Linked DNA regions of Callithrix jacchus. The protein of the gene in region 2 purifies or fractionates together with the protein of the main gene of each other region. This does not show direct contact. Links are inferred from orthologs where the notes say so. Each region holds a gene or a part of one and is shown on either strand. Other genes may lie near its edges.

The links. Proteins that work in one complex are often made in the same cells at the same time.
Region 1: the proteins of PPP2R2B (region 2) and PPME1 purify together in Homo sapiens (affinity purification with mass spectrometry; 3 studies listed by BioGRID and IntAct, with this or other methods). This does not show direct contact. The link is inferred for Callithrix jacchus from reciprocal best matches to the Homo sapiens genes PPP2R2B and PPME1.
Region 3: the proteins of PPP2R2B (region 2) and IER2 purify together in Homo sapiens (affinity purification with mass spectrometry; 3 studies listed by BioGRID and IntAct, with this or other methods). This does not show direct contact. The link is inferred for Callithrix jacchus from reciprocal best matches to the Homo sapiens genes PPP2R2B and IER2.
Region 4: the proteins of PPP2R2B (region 2) and IER5 purify together in Homo sapiens (affinity purification with mass spectrometry; 4 studies listed by BioGRID and IntAct, with this or other methods). This does not show direct contact. The link is inferred for Callithrix jacchus from reciprocal best matches to the Homo sapiens genes PPP2R2B and IER5.

The regions. Positions count from the first base shown.
Region 1 is NC_133511.1:66,763,181-66,768,668, reverse strand, and holds the start of PPME1 (protein phosphatase methylesterase 1), read left to right. Parts: upstream 1-1,979; 5' UTR 1,980-2,129; coding exon 2,130-2,230; intron 2,231-5,488. Other genes in the region: C2CD3 (C2 domain-containing protein 3), read right to left, coding at 1,739-1,808. UniProt on the Homo sapiens protein: Demethylates proteins that have been reversibly carboxymethylated. Demethylates PPP2CB (in vitro) and PPP2CA. Binding to PPP2CA displaces the manganese ion and inactivates the enzyme.
Region 2 is NC_133503.1:45,412,580-45,417,394, forward strand, and holds part of PPP2R2B (serine/threonine-protein phosphatase 2A 55 kDa regulatory subunit B beta isoform), read right to left. Parts: intron 4,001-4,815; exon of another isoform or gene 3,808-4,000; intron 3,416-3,807; coding exon 3,222-3,415; intron 1-3,221. UniProt on the Homo sapiens protein: The B regulatory subunit might modulate substrate selectivity and catalytic activity, and might also direct the localization of the catalytic enzyme to a particular subcellular compartment.
Region 3 is NC_133523.1:11,972,782-11,977,697, reverse strand, and holds IER2 (immediate early response gene 2 protein), read right to left. Parts: upstream 3,039-4,916; 5' UTR 2,907-3,038; coding exon 2,235-2,906; 3' UTR 1,210-2,234; downstream 1-1,209. UniProt on the Homo sapiens protein: DNA-binding protein that seems to act as a transcription factor. Involved in the regulation of neuronal differentiation, acts upon JNK-signaling pathway activation and plays a role in neurite outgrowth in hippocampal cells.
Region 4 is NC_133519.1:39,363,186-39,368,502, reverse strand, and holds IER5 (immediate early response gene 5 protein), read right to left. Parts: upstream 3,377-5,317; 5' UTR 3,166-3,376; coding exon 2,185-3,165; 3' UTR 1,210-2,184; downstream 1-1,209. UniProt on the Homo sapiens protein: Plays a role as a transcription factor. Mediates positive transcriptional regulation of several chaperone genes during the heat shock response in a HSF1-dependent manner. Mediates negative transcriptional regulation of CDC25B expression.

The DNA.
Region 1 (5,488 bases), on a different chromosome or scaffold from region 2:
GTAAACAAAGCGATTAATCTTGACTTTCTATAAAATGTTCTTTTAATAACCCTGATTGTCTTCCATTCACAGTACCTTTTCATGAAGACTTAGAGATTTAAGAAACCATTCTTATATTGTGTACACGTTTTTTTCTTTGACTTTTCTTTGAGGAGTGGTTATGTTTCATAGGAAGAAAATATAAGGAATGTATCAGATCAGGAATTTATACAACTAATTACTTGGACTTCTAATGCAAACACCCCCTCTGCCCTCCATAGTGGAGAAAAGACCCACCATAATCCTTATGGATAATTTCAACATAAAAATTATACATAGTTGTGTGTATATTTCTGCATATGTAAATAGTATAGGAAAAAGTACATTCTATCTATACTGTGTAATATTATTTCTACTTTGACTTTCTGCTTATCAACCAAACTTGCTTGACTGGTTTGACACAGGGAGCACTAGCATACTTCAGCCTCAGATCCTCTTATCTTTCGCCGTGGCAAGAAAGTCACTACCTCAAAACTGCCTTAGTAATCTTTAAATAGCTTGGATAAGAGTAATTCCCAGATTGTAGTTTCAGTCCTCAACCCAATGGCCTAAAGTCCTATCACTCTTCCCAGTGTTCTTTTCTCACTAAACCGCCTACAATGCAAAAAGGCAGGGTAGTCCTTTTTTCCTTCAAGGCAGCCTTGTAGAGATTCAATGTCCAGTTTCCTGATCTACTCTGGGTTTCTAGGGTGACTGTTTTCACTGCAGTCACCTACTTGGTGAGCTTGTGTCTTCTTCAGCTGCTAACCTGATGAGCGCTCTCTGCGCTCTCTTTCATGATCTCAGGTCCTTCAGGAGATCCTCATTCCCTTACCCCGACTCCAATCCTATCACACCTTTTATTCCTTTCTTCCCCACGCTAGACTCCACAATTATTTTCTCAAACTCCTGCTCATAGCCCTTCACGCTTCATTCATTCAACTAACATTTACCGAGTACTGCTTTGTAGTAGTCCTTGGTCATTCAGTAATGTAGTAACCGTGATCCTTGCCCACAATCACACCAGCAATGACACAATCCCTTTGCCAATTTATGTTCTTTCCTGTCCCTGTGGATCTCTAAAACCACACACACACACACACACACACACACACACACACACACACACACACATTTAACTTCGTTATCAAAACCACTCCTACGGTTTGTTCTTCTCTTTTAGTCATCCTACCGGTAACCCTCATCGCACCGCATTTATCACCACTCTGTGGCCCCTACCCGAGCCCCTGATTCCTTTCCATTCTCTGGAGGGCCAATTGCCCTTCCTTTTAACCTTCTGGTTCCCTGGCTATTTCCCCTCTTCCGTCCCTTATCTTGTTTAGTCAGCGGGGGTGGGGGGGTCTCCCTAAAATTCCTTACATTCTGCTCCACTATTACGCTTTCCTCAATCTTTGATCGCTCGGATTACCTCTTTTCTTGCGCCCACGGCTGCCCCCAGGCCCTTGGCCTTTTCGTTGTTTCATGACGAGCCCGAGCTTTTCTTTACAAGCTCAACTCCGTCTCCAGCACCTAAACAATATCCTCCCGCCATCCCTCCCCACCGCGCCTGCGTTCCCCGGCAACTGGCGCCGCTGTGCAGCCTGGGAGGCAGAAAGAAGCGCTCTTCCTCTAACAGACTCCGGACAACGGTGCAAAGAGAAGGCGCCAAGACGTCTTCCCTACAATAGACTACAATACCCAGGATGCTTTGCTACACTACCTCTGCGGGGTTGGCTGGCGGTGCCTCCAGCTGCGCAAGCGCATAGGGATACGCCCTTCGAGGACTCCATTGCCCAGGGTGCATTGCCCTGAAGAGCGCTCCTCTTTCCGGTGAAAGTCGTCGGGTTCCCGGCTGGGAGACTTCGAAGTTCACGGACTCAGTTACCCAGCTTCCTTTGTGGAAGGGCTGTTGCGCACTTCCGGTGGAAGCGCTGAAGCGAGTGGGTGGAGTTTACGGAGCCGGTGGGCGGTAGGCGGTGCTACCGGTATCTGGGTGCTGTCCAAAGGCGACAGGACGTCGTTAGGCGAGCGAGCCGTGACCGGTTGGGCCACACTCAACGTGGGACGAAGCTTCGCCTACTGTTTGACTACGTGCGTGCAACCTCCCCTTAATGTCGGCCCTCGAAAAGAGCATGCACCTCGGCCGCCTTCCCTCTCGCCCACCCCTGCCCGGCAGCGGGGGCAGTCAGAGCGGAGCCAAGATGCGAATGGGGTACGTGACCCATACCCCTTCTCCCTAGGGGCCAGGCCCCAGCCATTGGAGAATGGTGTCTCTGGGCGTCCAGAGAGGCACGGGAAAGGAGTCTACGGATAGGAGAAAATGTTGACGGCGGCCTGGAGACATTTAGATGAAGTAGAAGGCAGATTGGGGGACTAGGGGAGGCGCCAAATCAATGGAAATTGGAGGAAAAATAACGTTATTGACGGTAGAAATGCATGAGGCAAAATTAGGGAAGCTGAGAGTAACATAAGGGATCTGAGAATCGCCTCCGGAAAAAATAGAAAAGGGAGTAGAACGGTGACAAAGGTGGAGGGAAGTGGGGAATGACAGAGAAAAGTTGAGGGGAATTGGGGCAACAACTAAGAAAAGGTTTGGGAGGAGTAGATATTATCACACTTCTAATATCTACACTGTGAGAACTAGATATTAGAAAAGCTGAGGGGAATAGAGAACACCTAAGACAGGGTTGGAGAAGGAAAGAGGAGAACTAGGAAGCAGACGATTCTAGAGAATTCCCAGAGGTGTAAAGGCAGATGCAGGGAATGAGAGGTGAGATTAGGTGTCTTAAGGGAGAATGAGAAAGTTTGGGGAGAGGGCCTAAGGTAAGGTGGAGAACATAGCCACGAAGATTGTTAAGGTAATAGGAATATGCTGAGAAACTGGACAGGATATGGGAGAGAGAGAAGAAGGAGAGGACTAAAGAATTTAGAAAGTGACCATAGGCTCTGAAGATTGAGAAATGACTATAAATACGGTTTGTTGAATGGAAGTGCTGCAGTTGTAAGGTATGGGAAGCTTAAAGAGGAAACTTCGGGCAATCAGTTTTTGCTGGGCCAATAGACTGGAGGGAAGTGATGTACTGGCCTAAGACCTTGAATTAGTGAAGCTTTGGGAGTAACCACTTAAAATGTTTTTGGGGAAATAAGTTTGCTGGAAAAGGAAGAAAACTGTGTTGAAGAGATAGGCCTTGAAATTTTATATCATCAAATGGCTTGTGCCAGGTTAGGGGATACTTGGGCCAAGGAAAAAGAATGAGGTGAACCTGGGAGAAGTAATTGCTGGAAAGCAGAGAGAATTGAATAAGTATTTCATTTTGAGGTGATATTTGTAGTTTCAGACAGGATTCTGGGAATTAGTGACTGTAAAGAGAAAAGGAGTAGGAAGAATACTTAGCTATGAGGAATTGAGAGTGTATTTGGGATTCTAGAGATGAATTGGTAGATATTCTTTGAAAAAGGACTACAGAAGAGAAACCTTAGGTTCTGAAGAAGTAATACGTGTAAAAACTGATCAAAAAGGAGGTGAGAATATGTGATGCAGTACTGTGACAGTAAGTCCTGGGGATGAAAAGAAAGGAGAAGCCTATACAACTGGGGTGAAGGAATGGGAAGAATGGTTGGGAAAAACAGGGAAGGAAACTAAGAACTGAAGTGGAGACCTGCTATGAGACACAGTAGAAAAATGAGAAAACTTTAGCAGAAGATAGATAAATGGATGCACAGTAGAGGAGGTAGAAAGCTACATAGTAGGTAAAGTGAAGATTGTTTTCGCTTTGGAAGACAGAAAGATTGGACTATGACATGAATAAAGATAATTTGGAAACCGACCCATAACATTATTTGGGAAAATTAACCTGGAGTATAATATTAATGTAACAGTAATTGTGGATATATATCTTAATTTCTGCCTTTCTTAAACTAAAATTTGATCTTTCAGTATACCAGCACTCTTCTATACAAATACATAAGAAAAGCAAATTTTTAATAATTATACATTTTTAAGATAAGTTTAATTAGAGCTTAGCTTCTCACTTTGTCAAAACAAGTTCTCTGAAGATTGAAGAACTGGGTGAAAATACTGAGAGAAAATAAAAGGAAAATCTGCTGATTAGAAGATTGCATAATTATTAGTAATTTATCCTTTTTCTTTTTTATTACTTTTCATTTTGTTTTTTTAGAGATAGAGCAAGACTTTGTTGCCCAGGCTGGAGTGCAGTGGCATGATCTCAGCTTACTGCAACTCCTACCTCATGGGTTCAAGTGATTCTTATGACTCAGTCTCCCAAGTAGCTGGGATTACAGGCATGCACCACCACACCCAGCTAATTTTTGTATTTTTAGTAGAGATGCAGTTTCACCATGTTGGCCAGGCTGGTCTTGAACTCCTGGCCTCGGGTGATCTGCCCCAGTTGGCCTCCCAAAGTAGTGGGATTATAGGAGTGAGCTACCATGTCTAGCCAACTTACCCTTTTCTTTTTTTTTTGTCTCTCAAATTTATTTTTTATTTTTATTTTATATTATTTTTTTATTTTACTTTAGGTGTATACTATATCCAGCATTTCTCCCCATGTTATCCCTCCCCACCCCCCACTGCCCCCAGTGTGTGATGCTCCTCTCCCTGAGTCCACATGTTCTCATTGTTCAACACCCACCTATGAGTGAGAACATGCGGTGTTTGGTTTTCTGTTCTTGTGTCAGTTTGCTGAGAATGATGGCTTCCAGATTCATCCAAGTCCCCAACTTATCCTTTTTAAACAGATGCTTTGGTCTTCCTGGTTTAGGTTAACTGTTTGTCCTGGGAAAGAAAGTTCTTTACAAACGTTTTTCTTTATGATAATATTGTGAAGAGAAGAACATATATTGGTGAATATTTGTGTGGTCCTCAAATGGCTTATTTTCCCATATTTTTCTTTTTGATTTTATTGGTACATAAGCAGGCTTCATCTAAGTCTCATGGTAGTAATAATATAGATTATCTTTCCCCTTAGAATCATAAAGGTGAAAGAGAGTGTAGACATGGTCTCATTTCACCACTTCATCATGTAATTGAGGAACCCAACATTCAGAGAGTTCTGTATTCTATAAGGAATGGGGGAAATATATTCTCTTAATAAATGAGCGAACTGAGACTCACATATTCCTAAGGCACCCTAGAAGCTTAGCAGTGGGGCCATTAAAGACTAGGACTTGGGTCCCCTGACTGTGAGACCCACTGTGTATTTTGGAGTCATAATTGTCATTTGGGAATACTTAATTTGAGTTGTGTATCTTATTCCTTTGCAAATAATTTAGGATTCAGTCTTTTTATTCAGTCAGTCATGATTTACAATGTCTCACACCAATTTCAAAGCCTACTTTATGTCATCTTATACTCATTTGCTTTTTTCTTAACTTCCATTCTTTGACTCCCTCATCTATCTGTTACTTGAAAGTTAGTCCTGTTTCCTTGATAGTCTTGTGTGGCTTACTC
Region 2 (4,815 bases):
CTTGGTTAGAAAACCTGGAGTTTCATATCAAAAGAGAAGAAAAAAACAATCAAACCGTTGTGTTGACTTTATTTTTGTGAGAAATTTCAACCCACCCAGTTCCCTTCCTCATATATAACCCCATACACACACTTCAAATTATCCCTGCAAAGGATTTTATGCCAGATGGAAACACAGCTTACACACCAAGATAAAACCATTGCAATCTTTCCCATAGTAAGAGCTGATAGTTAAAGGAAAATGAAGCAGTGCAGAATTTCCTAGTGGGAGAACCTGGCCTTCAGACACTGGCTTGAGTTTAAAGACAAGGTTTTCCTCTGTATGTGTGACTTTTGGCAAATTAGTAACATCTCCAGTCTTCGGTTGCATCAGTTTCCTTATTTGAAAATGGAAATAATGGCATCCATTTAACAGGGTTGAGATATACTGAAATGCTATACATAAAGAGCTCGGCACAGTGTTTGGATGCTCATAGAAGATGCTCAAAGATGTTAACTTCAAAGAGGAGGAAATATAGGGAAAGGTAGGGGAGGGCAGTAATTTTCATGCTCAGAATTTAAAAAAAAAGTCCTAGGAAATTTCTTTAATAAATGCACATCATGCATTATTTTGAAAGAGAGAGAGAGGGAGAGAGACTGAGAGAGGGGAGTTTGGGTGAAAGTGTCCTTTAGCATTTGCATTGCTCTTAGCTGGATGAACTTGCCTGCAGCCACCACTTACAATGCAAATTGAGTTTAGAGTCCTTCACACTAACTACACAGCACAAATCTTTCAGCTTTAAATAGAACACTGCAATGTGGAATGATCTGAGCAAATGGAAGAAAAATTCAGAAATACATGTAAGGAGATATTTTGGAGGGAAAAAAAGAACAATCTGACATAACTGAGCAGGTAGGAGGAAACTGTAGAAATATTAAGAGAACCAGAAAAGCAAGATCTGTAGAAGGACCTAGAAGCTAATTTCCCACCCAGTAAGTAGATATAAGTTCATAAAGGGGAAGAAAACTTTTGGGGCAAGTTCCCAGTGAGGAGAATTTTAACAAAGATTCTTTTGATCTGGTGCTCTTTCAAGGTATGCTAACATGTCTTAAGGTATTGGAGGAACAGGGACTCTTCCCCCTCTGGCAGGAAAATTGCATGAATCTTCCCTGAAGCAAATAGGTCAAAACCATAGAGAACTTCTTGCTCTATCCAACTTCTGCTATTTACATCATTTAAGTTATATTTTCCTTTTATTTCCATACCTTCTCTAAAATCAGATTTTAAAACCTGGAAGCTACTGTGAAATAAAGGTTTGTTAGTTTTGAGTGCATTTAGTATGTGTGTGTGTGTTTGAGAAAAAGAAGGAAATCTGAAAGATTAATTCTTACATGTCCGAAAGCTCATTGCTATAAACTCATATCTAATTTTTGACTATATGAACCTAGTTATTCTATCCAGAATCAGAATTTTCAAAAATGCAATAAAAATAAGAACAAAGGTAATACCCAGGGCCCTGAAAGCAATAAAGAATGTCATTTTTAACTGATTTCTTCACAATTGACACTCCTATACACATATCTCCACTTTGGGCATTTTCTCAGCTTGCTAAGTTTCCCTTGCCTGCATAATGTAATATACAAGAAAACATGAAGGCGGCTCTCTTTCTTTGTGGTTACAAACAGAAAGAAATATTCCCGCATGAGCCAACAGACTCAAGGCAACTTCTCTCTTGGATGACATGCTTAGATACAGAGTTAGTCATATGTTATCAGGTCACTGAGTCAGTGACAAAGCACTAAGACTGAGGGAGAACATCTTACAATCAGGTTGCCATCATGTGCAGAAAAAGAATTGGTAAGTACGGTGCTCTGTATAGGGGAGGGATGGTCTGCACATCTTAAAAGCCACCTCTAAGCTCCTAGAGGCCAGAGCTTACAACGCTGCTTTATCTGTCTAGCACCATGGGCATACTAGGCTTGATGCTCTCCAAAAATGATGACAAATGGAGAATATACTTTCAATACCACTGGGCATTCCCTCTAGCTAGAACTTCCAGGGATGTTTATAGAAGATGCCACCTTTGTCCCCAGATGTGTGTGCATCTTTTTATGTCTTTCAGAGCTTGAACCCTTTTACTCCCCCCCATCACATTTCTCTAGGCATCTTTTGATTTGATTAAATATTACAGAAATTTTAGCATCTAAGAATAATAATTTTAAATTAACACTCTTTGCAACATTGTCCTAAAGCACTTCCACATACATTTTCTCGCGTGGATATTATAATGTGGTAATGTAACACTTTGTATGAAGGCTAAGGATAAAGGCCTACAGGTAGAAAATGAAAGCAAAAATGCAAAAGTTTTGGCTTTGGGGGAAAAATGCCTCTACTCTCTATTCACACACAAAAGGCAGAATGAGATTCCACCTGCTGACTTTCCCTCCCTGCCCGCAGAGCACTAGGGCTAAATGTCAGAACAAACTGGGAGAGAGGGAGAGACGACAATTTCATCTCTTGGCAAAGCTCAGCCTGCTGAACCCTCTTGCTTTCTGCTGGCTGTTGATTCAGCAGAAACTACTGCTGCAGAATTCATAATGGTGATTTTTAAAGGCCCCACCGATCGCGTTGCTCGCCCCACGTGTCAGCCTCATTCGCTAGCCGCCAGAGCACGATTTCTCCAGCCACCTTTTTATTTCTGCTAATACACTTCCAAAAGAAAAGAGGTTTTCCCGTTTGCAAAGGGCCTTTTGGGATTTTGATTGTCTGAGCAGGTAACCTGGCCGACCGGGGAGATGAATGGGCAGGAAATGAAACCATGCCCTCCCTGCAGCCACTGTGAGACACAACATCGTTTCGCTCAGGGAGGGGGGACCAAGGTCCTACTGGGCCCCTCCCTTTTTATCTGCCCCAAAGACCCCTGCAAATATCTTAGGGGGAGGGGTCATCTGCCTTCCTGGGGTCATCTTTTCGGGCTAGAGCCCCACCCTGAAAAGCCTAATCCCTGAGGGCCATTTTAACTCCCGTGGGCGCCGGGTCCACCTGCTGCTGAACGCCGGGCTCGCCTCGGGGAGCCCGGATGGATGCGGGGCGCACAGGCGGCTGCCGGGGCCAGCCGAGCCCCCGCCCCAGCCCCGGGCCCGGAGGAGTCTCCGCCACTACGCGCCCAGCTGCCCGAGAAGCACAGTGATCCGCAACTTGCGCCCGGCCCCAGCGGCGGAATGCGGCGGGGCTGGCGTTACCTTCGGTCGCATAGCTGTGGTCACGCAGGAAACTGTTGTTGATTTTGCGGGTATCAATGTCCTCCTCCATTGACAGCAGGCTTACTTGCGTGGGAACCAGAAGCCGGCAGACAAGTATCCATGATCCCTCCCCGCAGCCAGTCTCACAGGAGAGGGGGGCAGGGGAGCCAGTGGGACTGCACCATGGTCCGAGCCTGAGGAGGAGACGGGGAGGCGGAGAGAAAAAAATAAAAACCCGGCAATGGAGCTGTCACCTCCTCCACTCGGGTTCTGTGAGGCTGCGGCGGCTCCTCCCGCGCGGTGCGCTCACTCCAGCTCCAATTCCCAGCGAGGATGCTGCGCTTGCCTCCGCTGCCTCCGGGTGCCAAGATGTGCAGTGCCCCGAGGGGTCTGGTCCCGCCCGCCCGCCCGGGAGGCGCTCACAGGCGGGGCTGGGGAGATGCCCAACAGGTTCCCCTCGTTGGCAGCCGCTCCAAAATGCAAAAAAGATCCCTCCTCCCCCTGGAAGAGCGGGCAGAGGCGACAAAATGGTGCCTTTCTGGACCCGCTGCAGTGGCGAGATGGCAGGGGCAGGATTCAGGCTTGCCTGGCCGGGATGAGGGTGCTGGTCCCACGGGAGGGCGGCTCCGGCAGGCGGGGGTAGGGAAGCTGGCGGGGATCTGGGCAGGGCGCTGTGGCCGGCGCCAGCGCACTCACCCTCACACCCACACGCGCGCACTCGCAGCAGCTGCTGCTGCTGCTGCTGCTGCTGCTGCTGCTGCAGAAGGCTGGAGGCGGCTGGTGCATTAAAGGCGAGGCTCCTCCCAACCGCGTCAGCAGCCCCAGGACTCTTTCCCAGCAGCGGTGGTAGCCGAGGCAGAGGCTGCGGCTGCTCTTTGCTGCAGTGGGGCGCAAGCTGCCGCGAACTGGCACCTGGGCAGCAAGCAGCTAGCTTGCAGGTTCACATGGAACGTATAGACACGCTCTTCCAGCCTCCTCCCCTCTCGGGCCACTCAGCTAAGGGCCGCGTCTACGCTAGCACTTTAGAGCCCCTAGCTCACTGCCTTTCTCCGGACACCTGCACTTGAGAACAGCAAAGAGAAGTAGGTTCCTTTGGATAGTCAGGAAGTCTACATCCAGGTCCCTTTTGCTCACCCTTATATGATGCATGTAGTCTCTTGGTGAAGTTAAAGGATAAGGTTTACGGCTCCAAGCTTCAGAAAAAGAGGAGTGAGTGGAAAGCGCTGCTCAGAGCCTATCTTAAGCCCTCTGTACTAGAAATGGAAGGGAGAGCAGGGGCCAGAACTTTGTAACTGACTCCTCCATTCCTAAAAGTCAAATATCTAACTGTAGGAGGCTGGTATTCAATAAAGCATTTGTGTCTACACAGGTGGAGAAAAGCGTATGACTGAGTTATGAATGTAGTCAACAGGGTCAGTCTGAAAAAGTCCACTCTCCCTTGCCCTTTGCACTTCGTTGTGGACAAAGTAGGCAGCCCCTCTGTTACGTTTTGCGGGTGCAGGAACACCTTCCATTTGCTCTCAGCATGGAAGATACATTGAAGCACAGGAACATAAGCATAAGAGCCCTGTGCCCAGAGAGCCACTGCTACCTG
Region 3 (4,916 bases), on a different chromosome or scaffold from region 2:
GCGACAGGATGCGGGCAAGGCCCCCTCCCCAGGGGCCCCGGACTTCCCCGGGCTGGGCCAGGCCAGGCTCGCAGGGGAGGAAGTCCGACGCGGGTGCAATGAGCTACCGCCTGTAGTGTGCGGCTCCAGTGCCCGCACGTCCCGTGGGGGAGTTGGGTGGGTTAGGACTCGGAGTAGGTGACGCCTTTTAAAAGTTCCCCCACGTGTTCCCAAGAAGGAATCAGGCAGCCGTGGGGGCGAGCTTGGCTAGGGGAGAGCGGTGAGAAGCTCTCCTTCACAATCCACACGGGAGGGGAAAGGGGTGTGGATTGGGCGGGAGAGGAGCCAGGGCGCCCAGATTCCACCAGCAGACGATTTGGGGCTGGCCTGCCCCTCCTTCTACTTTCCGGTCTTGGGGGTCAGTTCCCCTGGGGTAATGGGAAGCCAGCGGCGGCCGAGCCAGCCGTCGGAGGGGCGGGGCGAGCGCTTTCCCGGCGCCTCCCGCCGCCACCACTCCCCGCACCTGGGACTCCTTTGTCTTCCTGCCAGCCCTCCTCCCTCCGCCCTGGGCAGCGCCTACAGCCCCACTCCTAAACCGACGTGGGGGATATTGAAAGGACTTTCACCTCTCGGGGTGGCTATTCTCCAGCTGGGGAGTGACCCAAGCCAATAACTAGGGCTCCAATGGGCATTTTTAGAAACCTAAAGCCGGGTGGAGAGAAGCTGCATAGAGGCCCATTTCACAGATGAGGAAACTGAGGCTGCATCTTCCTTCCTAAGCCACACAGCGATGACCAGGTAAAGGGCCCCTCAAAGCGCACCCGCTCAGCTCCACCTGAGGACTAGGACCCCGGCCGCAGCTGATTCAGTTGATTAAGGGGGTCGTCGGGGCGGGAAAGCAGGTGGCGAGATCTGCCATCTTTCAAGCAAAGTGTGATCGATCCCCAACTCTGCTTGGACACTGTGCTTGGCAATACCCCTCAAACGTCTCAACTCAGAAAACCCCCTATCCCGGAGTTGTAGAACAATTTCAAGGGAACCCCCAAATCTGGTGGGCTGGGGCTCCACCAGCTAGGGAATGCCCGGGCGAGGAAAAGGGGGCCCAGCCCTCTCCCGCCCACGTGGTAACCAGTCAGACCGGTTCCTGGGGCCCCAGCCGGCCGCCGCCAGCCCCTGACCCTTTAACCCCGCCCCTCCCCCACCAGAGCAGAAAACCAGACAGCACCGGCCTTTTTACTCAAATGCTCTTTTATTTTCCTGACATTTCTAACAAAACGCCAGGTTAGACGGAATTAAAAAGAATCCACCGCAGGAAAAGTAAACAGACCCTCAAAAACTCCCTGGTGAAGATGTCCCCCTCCCCAAACTAGCCCAGTTTCACCAGCAACTGGTCCCAGCTCAGCCTTATGCCTTTCTACTGCCACCCCCCCACCCCTCCATAGTCTCGTGATTCAGACCAGGAACATCTGGGTTGTGTCCGTGTCTGAGGGAGGGGCACGCTGGAACCTGGGGAACCTCCTAGCCACTCCTAATGCACCAGATGAGAAAATTTTGAATGTGAAACTACATCAGCTCCCGCTCCCACCCGAGGTGCAGAGGCGCGGGACGTCAACCAGCAGCACGCGGGGGTGAAGTGACTCAGGCCACTCTCCTCCCACTCTCCAGGGTGGGTCCACGCACCAGATCCTCCTCCCAGGCCCCACACCCACGCAAGGCGACAGGAAACTCCCCACGCCTGCCCCATGACGCAACGATGACCGTTTACAAAAGTATGTCAGTGGAGGGGGAAGGGGAGCGCCAGGAATTCTGAGGTTGGAAACGCAAAACCAACTCTTGAAAAACCTTCAAAGGGCCAGCACAGCCCCCAGTACAAAATGAAGTCCGACCCTGAGATCTTAAAAAAAAAGCAAACAAACAAACAAAAAAAACCCCAAGCCTCCCTTCTCCCAGTCCAGGAGTGAAAGGTCCACGTCCCAGTTCACTAAGACAGCACCTGTGGGCGCAGCAGGTCTCTGCGGAAGGCGCCCGCGCCCCCGGCTCAGACTCCTCGGTGCCGTCGCTGCACACTGAAGGCGACGGCTCCCTGGGGACAGAGTCCCTTCTCCGGGCCTCTCAGCAGCCCGGGCGGCGGCTTCTCTCCACGGTTTTCGCGGGCGCTCCCCTCGGGAAGGAGGGGGTGACCTCGCCTCGGATCTGCGCCCTGGGGCCGATGGTTCGACGCGCGCTCTGGGCTCTGGCAGCGCTGCTCGGGGTCCTCAAAAGGCCACCACCGTCCGCACCAACACGTTGAGCATGCTGTCCGCGGGGCGGCAGGCTGGCTTTGCCTCGCACGCGGGCGGCGCCGTCGGAGGGGCTGCGGGGCTGCAGTTCAGAAGGCCCGAGAAGCGCCTCTGCAGGACCCGGGCCAGGTTGGGAAAGGCGCCCTCCGCTTGCGCCGGAGGGGGCTGCAGGCGATCGGCGACCTCGGATGACAGCCCCTCCTCTTCCTCCTTTTCTTCCAGACGGGCTTTCTTGCTCGGGACGAGTCCGGCGTCCCCGCCGTCCCTCAGGCTGCTGCTGCGTCGTTTGCGGCTGACTTTGGCGGGGCGCGGGGCAGAGTAGGCGGGGATCTCCTCGGCCGTCGGAGCCTCCTGCGTGTCCATGGGCTCCGGAGACGGCTGCTCGCCGTCGGCGGTCGCTGTCTCGACCGTGGACTCGACTTCCCGGGGCGGGTGCAGGCGAGGGTCAGAGGGGCAGGCGGGCGGCAAGGACACCTCGGGTTCGAGGGCCTCCACCTTGGCCGAGAGGTAGAGTTCCCGGGCGCTGCGCATGACCAGCGACAACTGCAGACTTCGGTGCAGCCGCAGGCCACCGCGCTGCATGCGGGAGTGATACATCTTCCACACCGACAGGGTCATGATGCGCTGTGCCTCCTTCTGCACTTCCATGGCGACTCGACGGCGACGGCAGCGGGGGCTCCCTGGACGGACAGGACAGGCGGCAGGTGCACTCCGGACAGCGGGCTCGCTAACGCCTCTCCCCACGAACCAACCCACGCAGTGACACTGCTAGGACGCTCTGCCCCGGCGCCCGCCACCCGGGCCCTTTTATACCCCCAGTGACGTCACAGACGCCCCGCCCAATCCGAGGGACGCATCCGGGCTTTCCAACTCAACGCGACCAAACATTCCTTAAAGCGACAGAATGCGATTTACCTAGCAGGGAAAGGGAACGGAAACCTTAGCGAGGAGGAGCGTCCCCCTACTCCACGCTGAGCTCTCCGGTGGGCTCCTTTTTTTGAGCTCCGCCTGGGCGCGTTGGCCCAGAGGAGGGGGTCCGGGGATGCGGCTCAGGGCCCATCCACATGCTCGCCGTCTGGGGGCCCCAGTGGCTCGTGGGCGGCAAGTTTCCCTTCACACAGGGGAAGACCCGGCTTCCAGCCTGAACATCCCCTGTAGGCACTGTTCATAGCATTTACCAGGTGTGTCTAGTGAGTGTTTTCTGCACCAATAATCATGCTAACAGCTCTTACTAGTTACCAGGCGCGGTTAAGAGCGCTCCTTTTATCAATAACTCACCGATCCCTCACCTCCACCCCGCGGAGGACACTGTCCTATCTGCTTCCTTCCAGTGGGGAAACCAAGGCAGAGTCACTGGGCCAGGATATGCTAAACAAACAATATTTGCTACTGCTGTGAAAGGAGGCCACTGGGGCCTCCAGCTCTTCGGTCTCTAGGGTACGCCAGCCCTTGTTTGTAAACGGTGAGCCGCCCCGAGCTGCGGGTTTCCGTGATTCCTACTGAGCCATTCCCCCCGCAGTTTCCCGCGACAGGAGCTCCACGGGTGGGTTTGGAGGAAACCCGGCGCGCACGACAGCCCCGGTCAACACGTGGCTGCCGCCCCCCCCCCCAGACGAGGGGACCGAGTTCCGCCTCCGTGCCCCGGGAGGCGGGGTTCGGTTGGGAGCTGGAAACCCAGCAATGCAGAGACAGAGCAGGTAGAAAACCTCCCCCTACCCTCCGCTACGCGCCGTCTCTCCAAGAAATCCTAATTTCAATTCCTCCAAAAAAGGATGAAAAATTGTTCGAATGGCTCCATTCATTCCCGATACGGGCCCTTTAAGGAGTGGCGCGACCCCCACTTCCCGCCCGCACTGGCTCGCAGCTCCTTCCCGCCACCGGCGCCCGCTGACTTCCACAACTAAATTTGGACGGAGTGACGTAGGACAGTCGCGCGGTCCGCTTCCGGTTGCCCATATTAGGACAGGGCCTGTGATCGCCATAGCCGGCGGCAGCCGGGCTTCCGGGCGGGCTGGAGGGGCGGGGCTTTGCACTCCGGCCACGCCCCCCCCTCCCCGGCCCCGGCAGCGCGAGCAGGCTGGAGCCCCAGGCTTCCAGACCCGCAGCCAGCCGGGTGGGTGGGAAGGAGAGTTTCACTTCCTTCCCTCCTGGGGCCAGGAAAGCACCCCGCAGCGGGTAGGGGCGACCTCAGGGCTTCCACGTACGCCATCTCACAGACACGCTACAGAACCACCCTGCATACACAAGAGACGAGCCGCTGAGGCCCCCTCATCCCTTCTTTCCCCTTCCCAATTATTTCCCCCATACAAAGCCCCCTCCCAGGTTATCCCTGTCCCCCGCCCCACAGTGATCTGTCTTGGGACACCCTCCCGTCCTGCCCTCCCCCCGCAGGTGGGGACTCAAGAATTATTCCCCCCAAAAAGACCCTTTCTAAACTTGTCCCCATTCAACGAAGCTGCCACCTGAGGAAGACGCCCCCGTCCCCACCCCAACCTTACCACGGAGACCCCCACAGTGACTTCCCCAGCCCAGGCACCAGGCACTACCTCTGAGAGCCCACACAACAACTCTGACGCGCAAGGGGGCGACCCTCTGAGGACTCCCTCAGACAACCCGCCCACCCTCCAGGGGAGACCAGGCCCCCCACCACTCAAAACG
Region 4 (5,317 bases), on a different chromosome or scaffold from region 2:
ATGGATCTTTCATAGCCATAACAGCATTTAAGTAGCTACTTTCTGAAAGAAAAAGTCGATTTAACAAGATCCTACTTTGAGAATGTTAGTTCTATAAACACATTATGCTGGTGACAGAGCATGAAGTAGAAAGGTCCCTAGGCTTAAGTGACTGCTAATAGAGTTGCCGAAATATCAAGGCACCAGGCACTGGCCTATTCAGCTATGACAGAAGTTCATATAATTCACAGTTAAGGCCAATGCACCATTCATGTTTCTTATGCTCGAAGGCTATGACCTTTAAAGCTTTGTCTCTTTCTTCAATCTCTCCCATCTTTTAAACACCCTACTCATAAATTGTTAGAAACCAGTACCATAAGAAGTCCTGGCAACTGTACCGTATTTTAATAAACATTCCCTAATCGGTTTGCTTCTGAAATAAATTGAATACCTTTCAAACACTGAAGATGAAGAGACAGAAAGCTCTCTTAATGACAGTGATTTTAGTAAAATCAATGAATGTTTTGGCTGTCATCACCTAAGTTTCTACCATGACACAAACACTGATGTCACCTTTTGAGTAACAAAAACAAATCAGGAAGTTTTGCTAAATGAGAATGCCCTCCTTCCTTATCTCGTTTGATGCAGTTTCCCTTTCACCTATACATTTCCTTTCTATAGATGAGAAAAACTGAACATTTACATCCTGACACCCTTTGAGATGCAGAGGGGGACCTGACAATTTGGACAAGTCAGTCTCTTTCAGCTTCCTATGTCGGTTGCATCAGGCTTTTAAGGTCTACTACTATCTAAATTTTTTTCAATAATAAAGCGAAAAGATGATCCATATAACAGGAAACTAAGCTGAAAAACATTTTTGTGGATGAGCAGGGCTTCAAAAGTTGCTTAAATTACTTAATAAAATGGACACCCATGTATTGGTGACAGTCAAATTGGCCTAAACTGACCTTACAAAAGGCAGTTGTAATGGCAGGTTTCAAGACCCTGGCAGGTCGGTGATATTACTATCTAATAGCGGCCCTCTGATCTAGAAGAAAAAACTAAACGTGTCTCTCTTGATACTTGGTGGAGTCAGTAAACAATGTCCTCAGTCTGCGAGTGACTGATACCAAGAACCACACCTTCAATTTTCTAGCACAGGCCCTGGTTTCCCTCCTCCCACTTCCCTCCCAACCCAGGCAGGTTATTACAGACAAGGAGGCAGTTACGTTGCTTCAAAATATTTAATACGTGTTAGACACGTAGAAGTTACATTTTTATACAAAAATCAATACAACGAAGGAGAAAATACTGTACAAAAACCTTATCAGCTCCCCCAACCTTTATACAACAAAGACTGGAGTCACCTTATCTACAAAACCATAAGGTCTTTTCACTTAGGGCTTCTGTCTGTAAACTTTCATTAAACACTTTTTAAAAGCACTGTGTAGTAGTTCTGACCTAGAGCTTTTAAAAATATATCTTTTCTCTATAAACTCCGTATTTCCAAGCTTGAACTCTTCTGTGAAGTTCATCAAGCTTTTTCACCCCTGCGGGGAAGCGAAGGGCCGTTAATACTCCCCTTTCCTAGAGTAATCACAGGACATAAGCGTTTCTTCATTGGGAAAGAAAAGTGGGGAGGGAGGGAAGGAATTCAAGTCGGTGCTCGTGGCTAAAATCCCTCTCGTCTTAGGAAATCCTGTGCGGAAACGCCACTCCTGGCCCTGAAGCGGGTCTAGCTTTCCGGTGAGGGGTGGGTGTAAAGTCCCTCGCTCTCCGGAGAACGAATGGGGAACTCCCCGGCCCAAACCTTTTAGCCGCTTCCTTCTCCACGCTGTAGGCAGAGGAAAGTCCCTGTCTGCCCCCAGTCTCGTAAGCCCCGGGGAAGGAGTGGTGCATTCCAGAAGGACAAAATAGTCTTAATGCCACAAGACAAACTTACACACACTGACATACACAAACACAAAAGTTAACAATCGTCCTCTTCCAATGAGCCTCAAGCTCCCTGGTCTCCAGAAAAGCCTCGAGAGTCCCGGGCCGGCAGGGCCCCCGCGCCCGGGGGCGGTTTGCGATGCCCGGCGGCGACCAGTCTGCCCAACGCGCTCAGCGCCTGCGGTCTCTGGGCGTCCCTGCAGCCGGGAGGGTCCCGGCCCTCACTTCGGGGACGCCCGCTGCTCAACCTCCTCCCCGCACGGAGGCAGGGGCTCAGAAGGCCACGATGGCTGTGCTCCAGGGGTTCATGTCTCTCAGCACCGGCTTATCGCAGCAGATCTGCCCGGGCTCGGCGGCTTCCGGACCGCTCTTCTCTCCCTCCTCTTCCTCCCGGCCGCCCCCGGGGCTTTTCCGTAAGAGTCCCGAGAAGCTGGAACCAAAGATGCTGATGAGGTTAGCCACGTTCCCGGTATCCATCTCCTCCGTGTCGTCGTCCTCTCCCCCGCTCGGCGGCTGCTCCAGGTTCCGGCGGGGCTTCTTGAGCGGGGTCGAGCCGGGCGCCGGGAAGCTCGTTGGGCCGCCGCCCACCCCCGCCGCGCCGCGCTTCCTGGGGCACACGGCTGGCGGCGCGGGAGGCTCGTCCTCGGCGGGTCGCGGCGCACAGCAGCAGGCAGCGCGGGGGGTCGCGGCCGGTGTACCCGACGAGTCCTCCCCGCCTAGGGGGCAGCCGCAGGGGCGGCGAGAGGCACGAGACCCCAAGGGGAAAACACCCCAGCCTCCGGCGGGACCCTCGGCTTCTCCGGCCGCCGCCTGGCGAGGCCCCTCCACTCGGCTCCAGGCAGCTTTCGCCGCGTCCGCGGCTCCGCCCTGAGGAACGACCCCGACTCCGGTCACCGTGGCCTCCGGCACCGCGTCCCCCACCCGCGGCGCCTCTGAGACCGCGGAGCCCTCCGGCTGTGGCTCCGTATCCGCCCAGGAGGCACCGGCGGCAGGCGGGGGCGGCTCTCCCCAGCCGGCGGGTGGCCCGGCTGCCGGCTCCCCGAGCTGCTGCGGCGGCGGCGCCGGGATCCCCGCGGGACCCGCCAGGTAGAGGCCGGGGCACGGATCGCTCAGGTAGACTTGGCGGGCGCTGCGCAGCACCAGCGAGACCAGGAGGTTCTTATGCAGCTTGATGCCGCCGCGCTGGACCCGCGAGTTGTAGATCTTGCCCAGGGAGATGCTGACGATGCGGTGAGCCTCCAGCTTGAACTCCATCCTGCGTCCCCTGCACACGGCCGCCGGCGCCGGGGTGACGGGGTGTCACGTTCGGAAGCCGGGAGGGGACGGGAAACACAAACAAGTCCGCCCCTGGGTACACCCTCGATCGCCTAAGACTCCGAAGAGAAACGACTGCGGTGACGCGCGCGCTGTCCCGCTGGCCGCTCCACACCAGACAAGCGCCCAGCTCCGGGTCCGGTCGCTAAACAAGGCAGCCCGGCCGTCCCGTGCCTTATATAGGCTCCGCGACCGCCAATCACGAAGGGATGCCAGCCGTTCTGAGGCTGGCCGGCGCGCCCTCGTGCGCCGCGCACGACCAATCGGAGCCCGAGGAGGGGCGCCAGGGCCCGTTCGAACGTTAGTCCCGCGGAGCAGGCTCTTAAAGGGGGCTACGGTGTGGGTGTGCGGCCGCCAACCAGGGCCGGGGGGAGTGCGGGTCGGGGGCTGTGCTCGTGGGCGCTACTGTTTAGAGTTACAGACTCAGGATTGTGTGATGGCTTGCCAGAAACAAAGCGAACAAAATCTTTGAACTTTCATCCGAGTGTGGTGGTGGACTCTGCTCTGCCATGAAGTCCTGATCCTTCCGTGATCGACCCCGCCCTCACCAGCCACGCCACGGTTTCCAGGCCAGCCACACCTGTGAGCCATCCCCCTCAACTCTAAAATAGAGATGGTGGCTATACGCGGCGTAGGACACTTCTGGATAACAAATAGCATTACTGCACGGTATTTGGCAGTTATTATTTTTGGACGAGCCGCTTTCCCTAATAGAGTCACATACACTCTTAGCAGCTGTCAGTTCTAACCCTAAAGAAAAGGGGAATTCTAGAAGTTTTTGGCTACTTTTTTGGCTTATCAAGGAATTGTGTCTAGATACAAAGTTATTGGTTGTCGTCTAAAGCTGGCATCTTTCACTTTGTTCTCCAGATTGTAGAGCAAAGCTAGTTATCAAACAGGTTAGGTGGAAGGTGTTACAGGTTCTCCACAATGATTTTTTTTTTTTTCCATTACAAGGACTGACCAGTGTACCCTTGGAAAAATCGAGCAAGTTCTGAAAATACAAAGAGAGAAGTCCTGTGTTCCCATGATGATGTCATAATTTCATTTTGTGTCAAGGTAAAAATACAGGGCAAGGGAGTTCCAGAATTTTGTGGTCTGTCAACACCTTAGTCCATCTACTGGTCCTTATAAGTGTATTAGGGCAGAATTGCCACAGGGTTGCTCAGAGTTCTGGACTGGAAACATAGAGTCAGTTCCAGTTAGTTCCAGCAAACTCCACCACAGACCTGCCTGAGAACCTGAGGCCGCTTCAGTGTCTCCACTGCGGAAAGGGGGAAGTCACATACACATCTGCTTTATTATACAGAAGATAAATGACAACTCTCAGCCACAATCTGAATGAGAAAACTAAGCACTGCTTTCTTGGAGTCCATGTGGAACCCCGGGCCTGATCCTGCCCCAGGGGTTGACCAAGCAATGAATTTATTTAGGAAAAATACCAGTGAAGAGTGGGCTTGATCATGACCAATTCATAATCTCCAGGGGATGCGATGTGCCCACAATTGATGGTAATTGAGGTAGCAGCTCTGAGACCCCAGAGCTCCTTCCCTCTAGGAATTTTCAGCTTACATAGAGAAAGAGATAAAATAATGTCACAAATAATTACAAAACCAAGTAGCATATATTGAGTAAAAATGCAAGAATTTTTCTCTTCTCTTTTCTCTTCTTTGCAAGTTATTGGTCTTAACCATTGCTATGAAGCAATGGTTAAGAACACAGACTGTGGAGGCAGTCTTCCTGGGTTGGAATCCCAGATTTGCCTTTCACTTGCTGCATGACCTCTGGAAAATTATTTCACTTCACTGTGCTGCCTTTTTTTTTAATTAAAAAATAAAGATAATCAGCTGTGCCTAGTGGCTCACGCCTGTAATCCTAGCACTTTGGAAGGCTGAGGTGGGCAAATCACTTCAGGTCAGGAGTTTAAGACCAACCTGGCCAATACGGTGAAACCCCATCTCTACTAAAAAAAAAAAAAAAGTACAAAAATTAGCTGGGTGTGGCGACTATAATTCTAGCTACTGGAGAGGCTGAGGCAGGGGAATGGCTTGAACCCAGGAGGCAGAAGTTGCAGTGAGCCAAGATCGCGCCA